3 linked regions of the Macaca fascicularis genome follow. The protein of the gene in region 3 purifies or fractionates together with the protein of the main gene of each other region. This does not show direct contact. Links are inferred from orthologs where the notes say so. Each region holds a gene or a part of one and is shown on either strand. Other genes may lie near its edges.

Region 1 (3,647 bases), on a different chromosome or scaffold from region 3:
GCCGCTGCCTTCTGAACCTGCCCCACTGTCCAGGGGCAAAGTGCCCACACTCAGAGCTACACCTGGGCCTCCCTTCTTATTCTGGTGGGTCTTGATATGTTTTGACAGGTGGTCACTCCTCATGAAGCGCTTAGGACACTCAGGGCAGGCAAATTTCTTCTCACCTAGGTAAAGGAAGGAAAGATAAGAAGCTGACATGTTAGGAAGTGAGGTTATCTTACCCAGTTCAGTAATTACTCTACTAAGCTGAGTAAGACCAGTATGAGAAGATGATTAAAAACAAGAAAAATCTTCAAGTATCTTTTCCTTTGGTGGGGGCGTGGGGAAGAAAAGTAGATAAAGGTTGGGGAGTACTCAGTAAGGAGGGTAGAACTTAGCAGAAAAGTAAGGCAGGGCAGAGACTAAGAGTAATGGTTTCAACGCTTTGCCTTCAAAACATCCCACTCAAAATCTAGTTCCTTCCTTTTTTTTTTTTTTGAGACAGTCTTGCTCTGTCGCCTAGGCTGGAGTGCAGTGGCACAATCTCAGCTCACTGTAACCTCCACCTCCTGGGTTCAAGCAATTCTCCTCCCTCAGCCTCCCGAGTAGCTGTGATTACGGGTGTGCGCCAGCACGCTTGACTTTTGTAATTTTAGTAGAGACAAGGTTTCCCCATATTGGTCAGGCTGGTCTCAAACTCCTGACCTCAAGAAATCCAACCACCTCGGCCTCCCAAAGTGCTGGGATTACAGGCGTGAGCCACCGCACCCAACTCCTTCCTTTTTTTTTTTTTTTGAGACGGAGTCTCACTCTGTCGCCCAGGCTGGAGTGCAGTGGCACAATCTTGGCTCACTGCAAGCTCCGCCTCCCAGGTTCCTGCCATTCTCCTGCCTCAGCCTCCCGAGTAGCTGGGACTACAGGAGCCTGCCACCATGCCCGGCTAATTTTTTTGTATTTTTAGAGATGGGGTTTCACCGTGTTAGCCAGGATGGTCTTGATCTCCTGACCTCATGATCCGCCCACCTTGGGCTCCCAAAGTGCTGGGATTACAGGTGTGAGCCACTGTGCGCAGCTCCTCCTTCCTTCTTAAAAGGTTTCCAGATTAACTCCAATTCCATTTGTGACCCATATATTTAGTTTCAAATTAAGTTGTTCAGAAATTTTAGTTATTTTGTAGGTATATTTTGTGTTTTTCATTCTAGGCTATTACTCTATTTTTCTCCCATAGGCTCTTGCTCACCTGTGTGTGTACGTTTGTGCCTCTGTAGCTCATCTGAACGTGTGAAGCGTTTCCCACAGTATGACCAGGTACACATAAATGGCCTCTCGCCTGTATGCCAGCGCAAGTGTGCCCGCAGGTGTGAAGTCTTGCCATACACTTTCCCACAGCCTTGGATGTGGCAAATATGTTGTTTCTTTTTGCCAGGATCCCCCGAGCCCCTGAAAGTGAGGATACAACTATTTATCATTCATTCTAGAGACAGAAACTAAAGAACCACAAAGTATCAACAACAGTCACCCAACCTACACCAAACTAACCCAAACTTTTATTTTTTGAAAAAGCCTTCTTTTTTGTTTTGTTTTTTTGAGACAGAGTCTCACTCTGTCGTCCAGGCTGGAGTACAACGGCATGATCACGGCTCACACCTCCTAGGTTCAAATGATTCTCCTGCCTCAGCCTCCCGAGTAGCTAGGATGCACGCCACTATGTCCAGTGCACCAACAGGTGCACGCCACCATGTCCAGTTGAATTGTGTATTTTTAGTACAGATGAGGTTTCGCCATGTTGGCCAGGCTGGTCTCGAATCCCTAACCTCAGGTGATGGATCTGCCTGCCTCCACCTCCCAAAGTGCTGGGATTACAGGCGTGAGCCACCGCGATGGACCAAGGCTTCCTTTTAAAAAGCCTTCTAGGGGCTGGGCGCGGTGGCTCACGCCTGTAATCCCAGCACTTTGGGAGGCGGAGGCAGGCGGATCACAGGGTCAGGAGATTGAAACCATCCTGGCTAACACGGTGAAACCCTGTCTCTACTAAAAATACAAAAAAAATTAGCCAGGCGTGGTGGCGGGCACCTGTAGTCCCTGCTACTCGGGAGGCTGAGACAGGAGAATGGCGTGAACCTGGGAGGCAGAGCTTGCAGTGAGCCGAGACTGCGCCACTGCATTCCAGCCTGGGCGACAGAGCGAGACTCAGTCTCAAAAAAAATTAAATTAAATTAAATTTTTAAAAAGGCTTCTAGGCTGGGTGCAGTGGCTAACGCCTGTAATCCCAACAATTTGTGGGGCTAAGGCAGGAGGACTGCTTAAGCCCAGGAGTTTGAGACCAGCCTGGGCAACACAGGGAAATCCCATCTCTATAAAAAATTTAAAAGTTAAGCTGGGCACAGTGGCTCACAACTGTAATCTCAGCACTTTGGGAGGCCAAGGAGGGTGCATCACAAGGTCAAGAGATTGAGACCACCCTGGCCAACGTGGTGAAACCCCATTTCTACTAAAAACACAAAAATTAGCTGGACATGGTGGTGCATGCCTGTAGTCCTAGCTACTCAGGAGGCTGAGGCAGAAGAATCACTTGAACCCGGGAGGCAGAGGTTGCAGTGAACCAAGATCGCACACCACTGCACTCCAGCCTGGCCACAGAGCAAGACTCTGTCTCAAAAAAAAAAAAACAAAAAAACAAAAAACAAACAAACAAAAAAACCCAAGGCCAGGCACGGTGGGTCATGCTTGTAATCCCAGCACTTTGGGAGCCCAAGGTGGGCAGATCACCTGAGGTCAGGAGTTCACTGACCAACCTGGTGAAACCCCATCTCTACTAAAAATACAAAATTAGCCAGGTGTGGATTACATGCTTGTAATCCCAGTGACTTGGGAGGCTAAAGCAGGGGGAATTGCTTAAACCCGGGAGGCAGAGGTTGCAGTAAGCCGAGATGGCGCCACTGCACTCCAGCCTGGGAGACAGAGTAAGACTCGGTCTCAAAAAAAAAAAAAAAAAAATTAACCTTCTTCCTCTTTCCTCCAAATCCTATTATTTTTTCTTCATATTTGTAAGAAACTTGCTGGGTCAACTCACCTTCCTTCACTGTCTTTACAGTAGGGGCAGGTGCATGCTTCCCGCCGGGTCCTCCGACCGGCTTGGGGTTGGGCATCTGGGCTGTTTTCTCCTTCCTCTCCACCTGCTGTGTCATCATGTATTCCATCACCACCAGCCCCATGGAGACCAAGCTGAGCTCCATGATCACCTATAATTAAGAGAGAAAAGAGTCAACATGTGACACGGGCAGGTTATCACTGGCATCTCAGTGATACCCTACAGTCACGGCATCATTTCTTTTGAACTGACATCCTACGTTCACAGTATCACAAGTTTTGAAGCCTTTTTAAAATGTTCAGCCATTCCATTCACTGACACCTGAAGACTCACTGAAATCTCAAGAATCATCATTGAAAATACAAAGAGTGGGCCGGGCGCGGTGGCTCAAGCCTGTAATCCCAGCACTTTGGGAGGCCGAGACGGGCGGACCACGAGGTCAGGAGATCGAGACCATCCTGGCTGACACGGTGAAACCCCGTCTCTACTAAAAAATACAAAAAACTAGCCGGGCGCAGTGGCGGGTGCCTGTAGTCCCAGCTACTCGGGAGGCTGAGGCAGGAGAATGGTGTAAACC
Region 2 (3,647 bases), on a different chromosome or scaffold from region 3:
GCTGCCCTCCGGCCTCCTGCTCCCTCTCCTGGAGCTGCTAGTGGGGCCCAGGCAGAGGGTGCATGGCCTCCTGAGGGAGGTTCGTGCCTAAGATGGCCCCTTCCTCTATCACAGGGCTGGCCAGGGCCTTGACTGCCTCGTGCCACCATGTGCCCCGTGCCATTGGTGTGTCTCTGTTCCAGTTTTATGGCTACCTGTCCCAGCAGCAGAACATGATGCAGGACTACGTGCGGACAGGCACCTACCAGCGCGCCATCCTGCAAAACCACACTGACTTCAAGGACAAGGTGAGCGGCCCGTGCACGTGCCCACCTCTCTGCTTCTGCCTTTTTTTTTTTTTTTCTTTGCTCATTGATTTTATCTTCAAAAATCTCAGATTAGAAATGCATTTATCCCAGCTACTGTGGAGGCTGAGGCAGGAGGATCGCTTCAGCCCAGGAGTTTGAGGCTTCAGTAAGCTATGATTGCACCACTGCGCTCCAGCCTGGGCCACAGAGCGAGACTCTTGTCTCTTAAAAAAAAACAAAAAAGAAAAACAAATGCATTTAATATATAAACTCAACACAGCATGTACATTATAGACTTAAGAGGCCTCTATCAGTTCTCTCCGAGACAGCTGCTGCCCCTCAGTATGAGGTCTCTTCTTCCAGATTTTTCCCTATGCAGACATCAGCGTATATTTTACAATTATTTTATTGAGCTAGGCAGAGTAGCTCACACCTGTCTGTGATCCTAGCATTTTGGGAGGCCAAGGCAGGAGGATCATTTGAGCCTGCGAGGTTGAAACTGCAGTGAGCTGTGATTGGGGCACTGCTCTCCAGGCTAAGCCCCAGCATGAGACCCTGCCTCAAGAACAAAATTAATAAATAAGCTTTTTAATATCACCAAATAACGTGCACTCATGATTAAAGAGAGAGAGCAGAGCAGAGCGTCTGTATTCAAAAGTAGAAATCGGCCAGGCACGGTGGTTCATGCCTGTAATCCCAGCACTTTGGGAGGCTGAGGCAGATGGATCACTTGAGGTAGAAACGTAATCCCTTCTCATCCCATTTACCAGAGTTTTTAGTGTCTATTTTTTTTTTGAGATGGAGTCTTGCTCTGTTGCCCAGGCTGGAGTGCAGTGGTATAATTTTGGCTCACTGCAATCTCTGCCTCCCAGGTTCAAGCGATTCTCCTGCCTCAGCCACCTGAGTAGCTGGGACTACAGGCGCCTACCACCACGCCCAGCTAATTTTTGAGTTTTTGGTAGAGACGGGGTTTCACCATGGTGGCCAGGATGGTCTCGATCTCTTGACCTCGTGATCCGCCCACCTCATCCTCCCAAAATGCTTGGATTACAGGCATGAGCCACCGCACCCGGCTTACTCAGTTTTCGTTTTCTCTTTCTGTTTTTTGGGGTTTTTTTGAGACAGATTATCACTCTGTCCCCCAGGCTGTAGTGCAGTGGCACAATTCAGCTCACTGCAGCCTCCACCTCCTGGGTTCAAGCAGTTCTTGTGCCTCAGCCACCCAAGTAGCTGGGATTACAGTCATATGCCACCATGCCTGGCTGATTTTTGTATTTTTAGTTGAGATGGGGTTCTGCCATGTTGCCCAGGCTTGTCTCAAACTTCTGGCCTCAAGCAGTTCGTCCACCTCAGCCTCCCAAAGTGCTGAGATTACGGGCGTGAGCCGCCGCATCCAGCCTGTTTTCTCTTTTGAATCAAATGGGAGCCTGTTTTTTTCCTCCGAGTATTTTGGGGATCTCTCCACGTGGATCTTCCTCATCTAGCATCTGGGTCATGCCCCCCTAGCATCGCTTACCATCCCAGAGGATGGCAGGCCCTGGGCCCCAGGGAGGGGTTGTCCTGACACAGAAGGAGTGTCGGCCCCGGCTGGGTCATCCCGAGCCTCCTCCTGGCCGCTGAGGTCTGGGAAGGGCATCCTCTATTGGTGAAGTCCCTTCCCGCTCCCTGAGGATGGAGATTCATTTTCTGATTCATCTGGAGCTCTGAGCGGTACCCTGAGGCCTTCCCACCTGACACCAGCTTCCCTTACAGGCACTCACCGTGCCCAGAACATTTGTCCTTCAAAAGCTCATGCCTGTCACCACCAGGAATGTCTGCCCTTGGTCTGCTCGTGTGGAAGCAATCCCACAAATCCAGAACAGGTGGTGTGTTCTCCCAGACCCTGGCCTGGACTCTGCCATGAGTGACCATAACAGGGGCCAGTAGCCCTGCGGGGAACCCAGCTGGCCCTGGGGCTTGGGCGGCTCACCTACCCCGGCCAAGACAGGCTGCTTCTCCAGGCACCACGAGTCAGCATGGAACTGGGAGACGCTGCCGCCGACGCCTCGGGCCCTTTCCTCCATGCTAAAACTGCAGATGCAGGCCCTGGAAAAATGCTCTTCAACTGGCAGTGAGCTTCCAGGGGAGGCCCATGCCTCTCGCCCCAGACGATCCGGAGGCCTGCAGGCCCCGGGTTGGGGCCGAGCGGGAGCTTCCCCAGGGCTTCTCCCAGAGGACTGGCCCATGGCTCATCTTGAGTTCTCGCTTCATTTTGACCAACAGTCCATAAAGGGCAAACACTGAGAGTGAAGACCGACCCAGGTGTTGACGCCTCATAACTTGCACATCCCTTATGATCACTGTCACCTCCCGATCACCATCACCTCCTGTGTCTCGCTCTCACCTCCCACTCCTCCCTTAGATCGTTCTTGACGTTGGCTGTGGCTCCGGGATCCTGTCGTTTTTTGCCGCCCAAGCTGGAGCACGGAAAATCTACGCGGTGGAGGCCAGCACCATGGCCCAGCACGCCGAGGTCAGTGGCCCGCTGGTGCCCACCCAGCCTCATCCTCACCCATGAGTGCCATTCTGGCCCCAGCCTAGAGAAGCCTGGGAACCCCCAGGAGGCTGGGGACGTTACTTCTGTGCTTTGATCTCTTTGTTGTCCCCAAAACAGTCATTGCAGGGAGGGGCTTCAGGGCCTGGGATGATTTCCCCTCATGACCGGCAGTCAGGGGCACAGGTCATTTCCCTGTTTTCTTTTTTTTTTTTTTGCACTGAAACCTTCATTCACAAAGTTCAAAATGTAAAAGCTAAAAAAGAGCAAACAGCGTGCTGTCCTCACCGACCCCTGCTCCCACCCCCTAGCCCCATCACGAGAGAGGAGCTACGGCCATAAAGTCTGAGCAAAGCTGTTCCGTGGCTGTAGACGTGAGCGTCCTCTCACACCAGCAGAGGCTGCACCTTCCTGTCCCTGCTCTACCTCTCCCATGGATCTGGGGTCACCTGGGTCATGGAGGGGCCATCCTTGCTCTGTCTTGCAGCCGCAGAGCACCCCCATGCCCAGCCGTGCCGCTGTTGCTTTAGCTGCATTGTGTCCGTAGTGACATTCAGACTCCTTCCAGGTCTTCACATGGCCGACGCTGCTGTCCTCTAATCCTACCACTTTGGGAGGCTTAGGCGGGCGGATCATCTGAGGTCAGGAGTTTGAGACCAGCCTGACCAACATGGCGAAACCCCGTCTCTACTAAAAATACAAAGAATTAGCCGGGCATGGCGGTGGGTGCCTGTAGTCCCAGCCACTCGGGAGGCTGAGGTGGGAGAATCGCTAGAATCTGGGAGGCAGAGGTTGCAGTGAGCCGAGATGGCGCCACTACCTCCAGC
Region 3 (3,647 bases):
GTATCAAAGCATCGGTGGGGCAGGGTAGATCTTCACCTGGCACTACACATCCCCAAGAGAGAAGCACACACTCCCTGGGCCACCCAAGGAATTAAGTCCAAATTTCCTGGCCCCATCAAATCTTTCGAACATCGTTTCTCTTACCTCTGACGCTGGCTAGTCCCTCTGCGAGATCCACTCTCAGCTGATCTAAGACCTGGAGCAAATGGGGCCTCCGGGAAGACTCCTGAAATTGCTCAATCCCCAGTCAGTGGGCCCTACTAGGCTCTCGGTGTGTTAGGACTCCTGCCTTAGTTGCCCGTTTTCATCCACTGGACAGTAACTCGGGGTTTCCAAGGGCATTCTCAGACTGCAGGCTCTCAGAGGACAGTGCACGCATTCACCCAGCTCTCTACCACCAATGTCCGGCCTGATGTGACTAGCAAAGTGTGTGCTCAGTGTCTGCTGAAAAAAAGCGAATCTAGCCAGCTTGGCAACAGATTTATTAATTCAAGAGTAGAAAGAGCAAGAGTCCAAGTGCTTTGATTCTTCGGTGAAAACTATGCCTCCTGACTGGAGAGCTGCCAGCCTGCTCTCCCCGACTCTCTTTAACAACTTGCCCTCAATTAAGGCACTTGAGAAGAGGGAGAGCAGGGAAGTCCCAGACCAAACCCCCTCTGGATCCTTGAGAGAGCCAGCGTTGTTCCACTGGTTTCCTTCAGCCACAGCTGAGCAAGGAAAGAGCCGGCAGAGACCTCTGTGGGGCACGAAGGCCAGCCCCTCAAATGCTGGTGTTAGGCACAGCGACAATGCCAATGCCATAGAGGGGCTGGTACCTGGGGCGTTATTTCAAGGTGTAATGAATCCATGATGGAAGACACTTGATAATAAGGCTGTGTGGGCTCAAAGGCCTTACCTCTAGCCTGCTTCTCTCTCTAGGAGAGTACTAGAAGCTGCAGGATGTGGATGGGGGACCCCATAGTTCCATACAGAGAAGGGAGCTGACCATCAGGACAGGGGAAGAGTTTGAGTTTCCCCAGCTTCCCCCTTTCCAGAGAAGTTAATGCTTCTGCTTAAGCACCTCCAAAAAGAGAGATAGATACAGGTACTGCCAATAAAAGAATAAAATATGCCTTCCCCCTCCAAGGAAGACATCACCAAAGTTGGGGGCAGCTGGAACACACCCCACCAGAATCCGTAAGTGCTCTGGGAGGGCTTCAATCCCCTGCAAGCCAGTGCTCTGGGGAGGGGAGGCATCACCCCTTAGGAGCTGATCTGACTCAGCAGGGCTGAGAAGTCCATGTCCGCAATGGAGGAGAAGTCTTCATCTCCTGAAAGGAGGCCGTTGGGGAGCCCCGGGGCCCCCAGTGGAGCAGGAGCTGGGTCAGGGGGCCTCTGGGCCCCTGTCACTAGGCGAGTTATAGCCTCAGGGTACTCCATCAGCATGGGCTCAGTTGTGTGGGGGGCCACAGGTACGCCCTGGTTCAGCAGCTGCTGAAACTCGGAGTTGTCGACTGATGCCAGGTCTGTGAACACGGTTGGGTCTGTGCTGTTGCCAAGCAAGGCCCCCAGGTCTTCATCATCAAACTGCAGCTGCAGCAAGGCCTCTGACAGCGTTCCTTCCCCAGCCTGGGTGGGCTTGGGGGCAGGTGGGGCCACAGCCTGAGGAGGGCCTGGGGCTAGGACTGGGGCCTGGGCCAGAGGTGATACCATGGCTGGAGCAGGGGCAGGGGCTGGAGCCTGGGGCAGGACTTGGGGAGGGGCCAAGGCTGAGGCCTGGCTTATCTGCCCAGAAGGAAACACCATGGTGGGAAACTCATCATAGTTGATGGTGCTCAGGGATGACGTAAAGGGATAGGGCTGGGGTGCTGGAGGAGAGAGACAGAGAGGCAGGGGTCAGAGAAAGCCCTAGAGATCCACTCCGTCCTCTTACCCCAGCCCCTCTTGATGGCGCCTAGGCTCAATCCCTCTCTAGGAAGTCACTGCCAACACCCTATCTCCTTCCTCTTACCCCATCTGACCCAGCCTGTAGGGTCCAGTTCTAGCCACACCTCCACGTTGGAGTCCTCCCTGACTACTCAAGCCCACAAAACTCTCCCAGCCTTTTAAAGGAAGGGACACTTTGAGAGACAAGCTGGACTCCTCGGTTTACAGCTGAAAAACTAAGTCCTGAGAGGCAATGAGCCCATGGAGCATCAAGTGAGCAGCGGCCTCAAGTGGACAGCTTGTCAGTTTTTGAGCCTCGCACTGGCACATACGTCTTGCTAATTCAGAAGTGATTTTTGTTCCCCCTAATTCAAGTGAGAGATGAAAGCAGAGATTCTGCATTTTTTTTTTTTTGAGACGGAGTCTCGCTCTGTCGCCCAGGCTAGAGTGCAGTGGCGTGATCTCAGCTCACTGCAAGCTCCGCCTCCCAGGTTCATGCCATTCTCCTGCCTCAGCCTCCCGAGTAGCTGGGACTACAGGCGCCCGCCACCTCGCCCGGCTAATGTTTTGTATTTTTAAGAGAGACAGCGTTTCACCGTGTTAGCCAGGATGGTCTCGATCTCCTGACCTCGTCATCTGCCCGTCTCGGCCTCCCAAAGTGCTGGGATTACAGGCATGAGCCACCGCGCCCGGCCGATTCTGCATTTTTAACTTCTGAATCCCAAGATACCCAGTACAGGATTTAACTGGCACAGTGGTTCCCAGGCTTCAGCATGCATTAGCGTCCCAGAAGTTGCTGGTTCCTGCGCCATCCTTTCAAAGCCTCTGATTCAGTAGGTCTGTAATGGGGCCCAAGAGTCTGCATCTCCACTGCTCCTCAGCTGAACAGAGCTGAACCTGTCGTTCCAGTAGGACAAAAGGAAATCCTTACCTGGCTTGGGAACAACTGAGCTGCGGGAAGGCACAGCAATGCGCCGAGGTGGAGGCCGGGGGTCAGTGGGTCCTGCAGGGCAAGGGCTGGGTCAGTTCTCAGCCCCAGGGTGTCCCCTCCCTCCCCGCTGCCTTTCTCTCTGTCCTTCCCGGTCCCCATCTCACCGCTGAAAGGACTCTTCTTCATGATGCTCTTGAAGGTCTCATATGTCCTTTTGCGTTTCTCCTCAATCCGGTGACGATCGTCTGGGAAAGTAAGGGGGAGAAGTGGGACTTGCTCTCCTCAGGTGGGCCCCCAACGCTCTCAAAGGACCCTCAGGAGGAAACCGAGGAGCCAGGCTTTCCCAAGACCCGTTCTCCCAACCTCCTCTGCCAGTGAGAAGGGATGTGTGACATCCAGCAGTTCTGAGAATCCCACAGCTTTTGGAGGCCTCTGTTGGCTGAATCTGCCCCTCTACGGCCACATGGCGAGGCCGAGTACAGGGGCCGTGCTCTGGGGAAAGAGGAGCCCTGGGGGGCCCCAGCCTCCAGCTCATGCCTTCCTGCACTGCTCACGTCCTGGCTCACTGTCAGCCTCCACCCAGGGCGGTGAGAATTTCTTGCCACTCTGGGGCAGCTGGGGCACAACTGCCTTAACACTTCAGCAGACTCTTATTCTTATCTGTAATGGTTTCGTATTTTAGTCGGAGCTTTCAGAACTGTCTTTCTTTTTTTTTTTTTTTTTTTTTTTTTGAGACGGAGTCTCGCTCTGTCGCCCAGGCTGGAGTGCAGTGGCCGGATCTCCGCTCACTGCAAGCTCCGCCTCCCGGGTT

What was found. The genes of interacting proteins can lie anywhere in the genome.
Region 1: the proteins of RELA (region 3) and SP1 purify together in Homo sapiens (affinity purification with western blotting; 7 studies listed by BioGRID and IntAct, with this or other methods). This does not show direct contact. The link is inferred for Macaca fascicularis from reciprocal best matches to the Homo sapiens genes RELA and SP1.
Region 2: the proteins of RELA (region 3) and CARM1 purify together in Homo sapiens (affinity purification with western blotting; 4 studies listed by BioGRID and IntAct, with this or other methods). This does not show direct contact. The link is inferred for Macaca fascicularis from reciprocal best matches to the Homo sapiens genes RELA and CARM1.

The regions. Positions count from the first base shown.
Region 1 is NC_088385.1:60,209,720-60,213,366, reverse strand, and holds part of SP1 (transcription factor Sp1), read right to left. Parts: intron 3,222-3,647; coding exon 3,053-3,221; intron 1,420-3,052; coding exon 1,220-1,419; intron 165-1,219; coding exon 1-164. UniProt on the Homo sapiens protein: Transcription factor that can activate or repress transcription in response to physiological and pathological stimuli.
Region 2 is NC_088393.1:11,477,272-11,480,918, forward strand, and holds part of CARM1 (histone-arginine methyltransferase CARM1), read left to right. Parts: intron 1-182; coding exon 183-287; intron 288-2,688; coding exon 2,689-2,799; intron 2,800-3,647. UniProt on the Homo sapiens protein: Methylates (mono- and asymmetric dimethylation) the guanidino nitrogens of arginyl residues in several proteins involved in DNA packaging, transcription regulation, pre-mRNA splicing, and mRNA stability.
Region 3 is NC_088388.1:8,712,795-8,716,441, reverse strand, and holds the end of RELA (transcription factor p65), read right to left. Parts: intron 3,082-3,647; coding exon 3,001-3,081; intron 2,909-3,000; coding exon 2,837-2,908; intron 1,848-2,836; coding exon 1,243-1,847; 3' UTR 465-1,242; downstream 1-464. UniProt on the Homo sapiens protein: NF-kappa-B is a pleiotropic transcription factor present in almost all cell types and is the endpoint of a series of signal transduction events that are initiated by a vast array of stimuli related to many biological processes such as inflammation, immunity, differentiation, cell growth, tumorigenesis and apoptosis.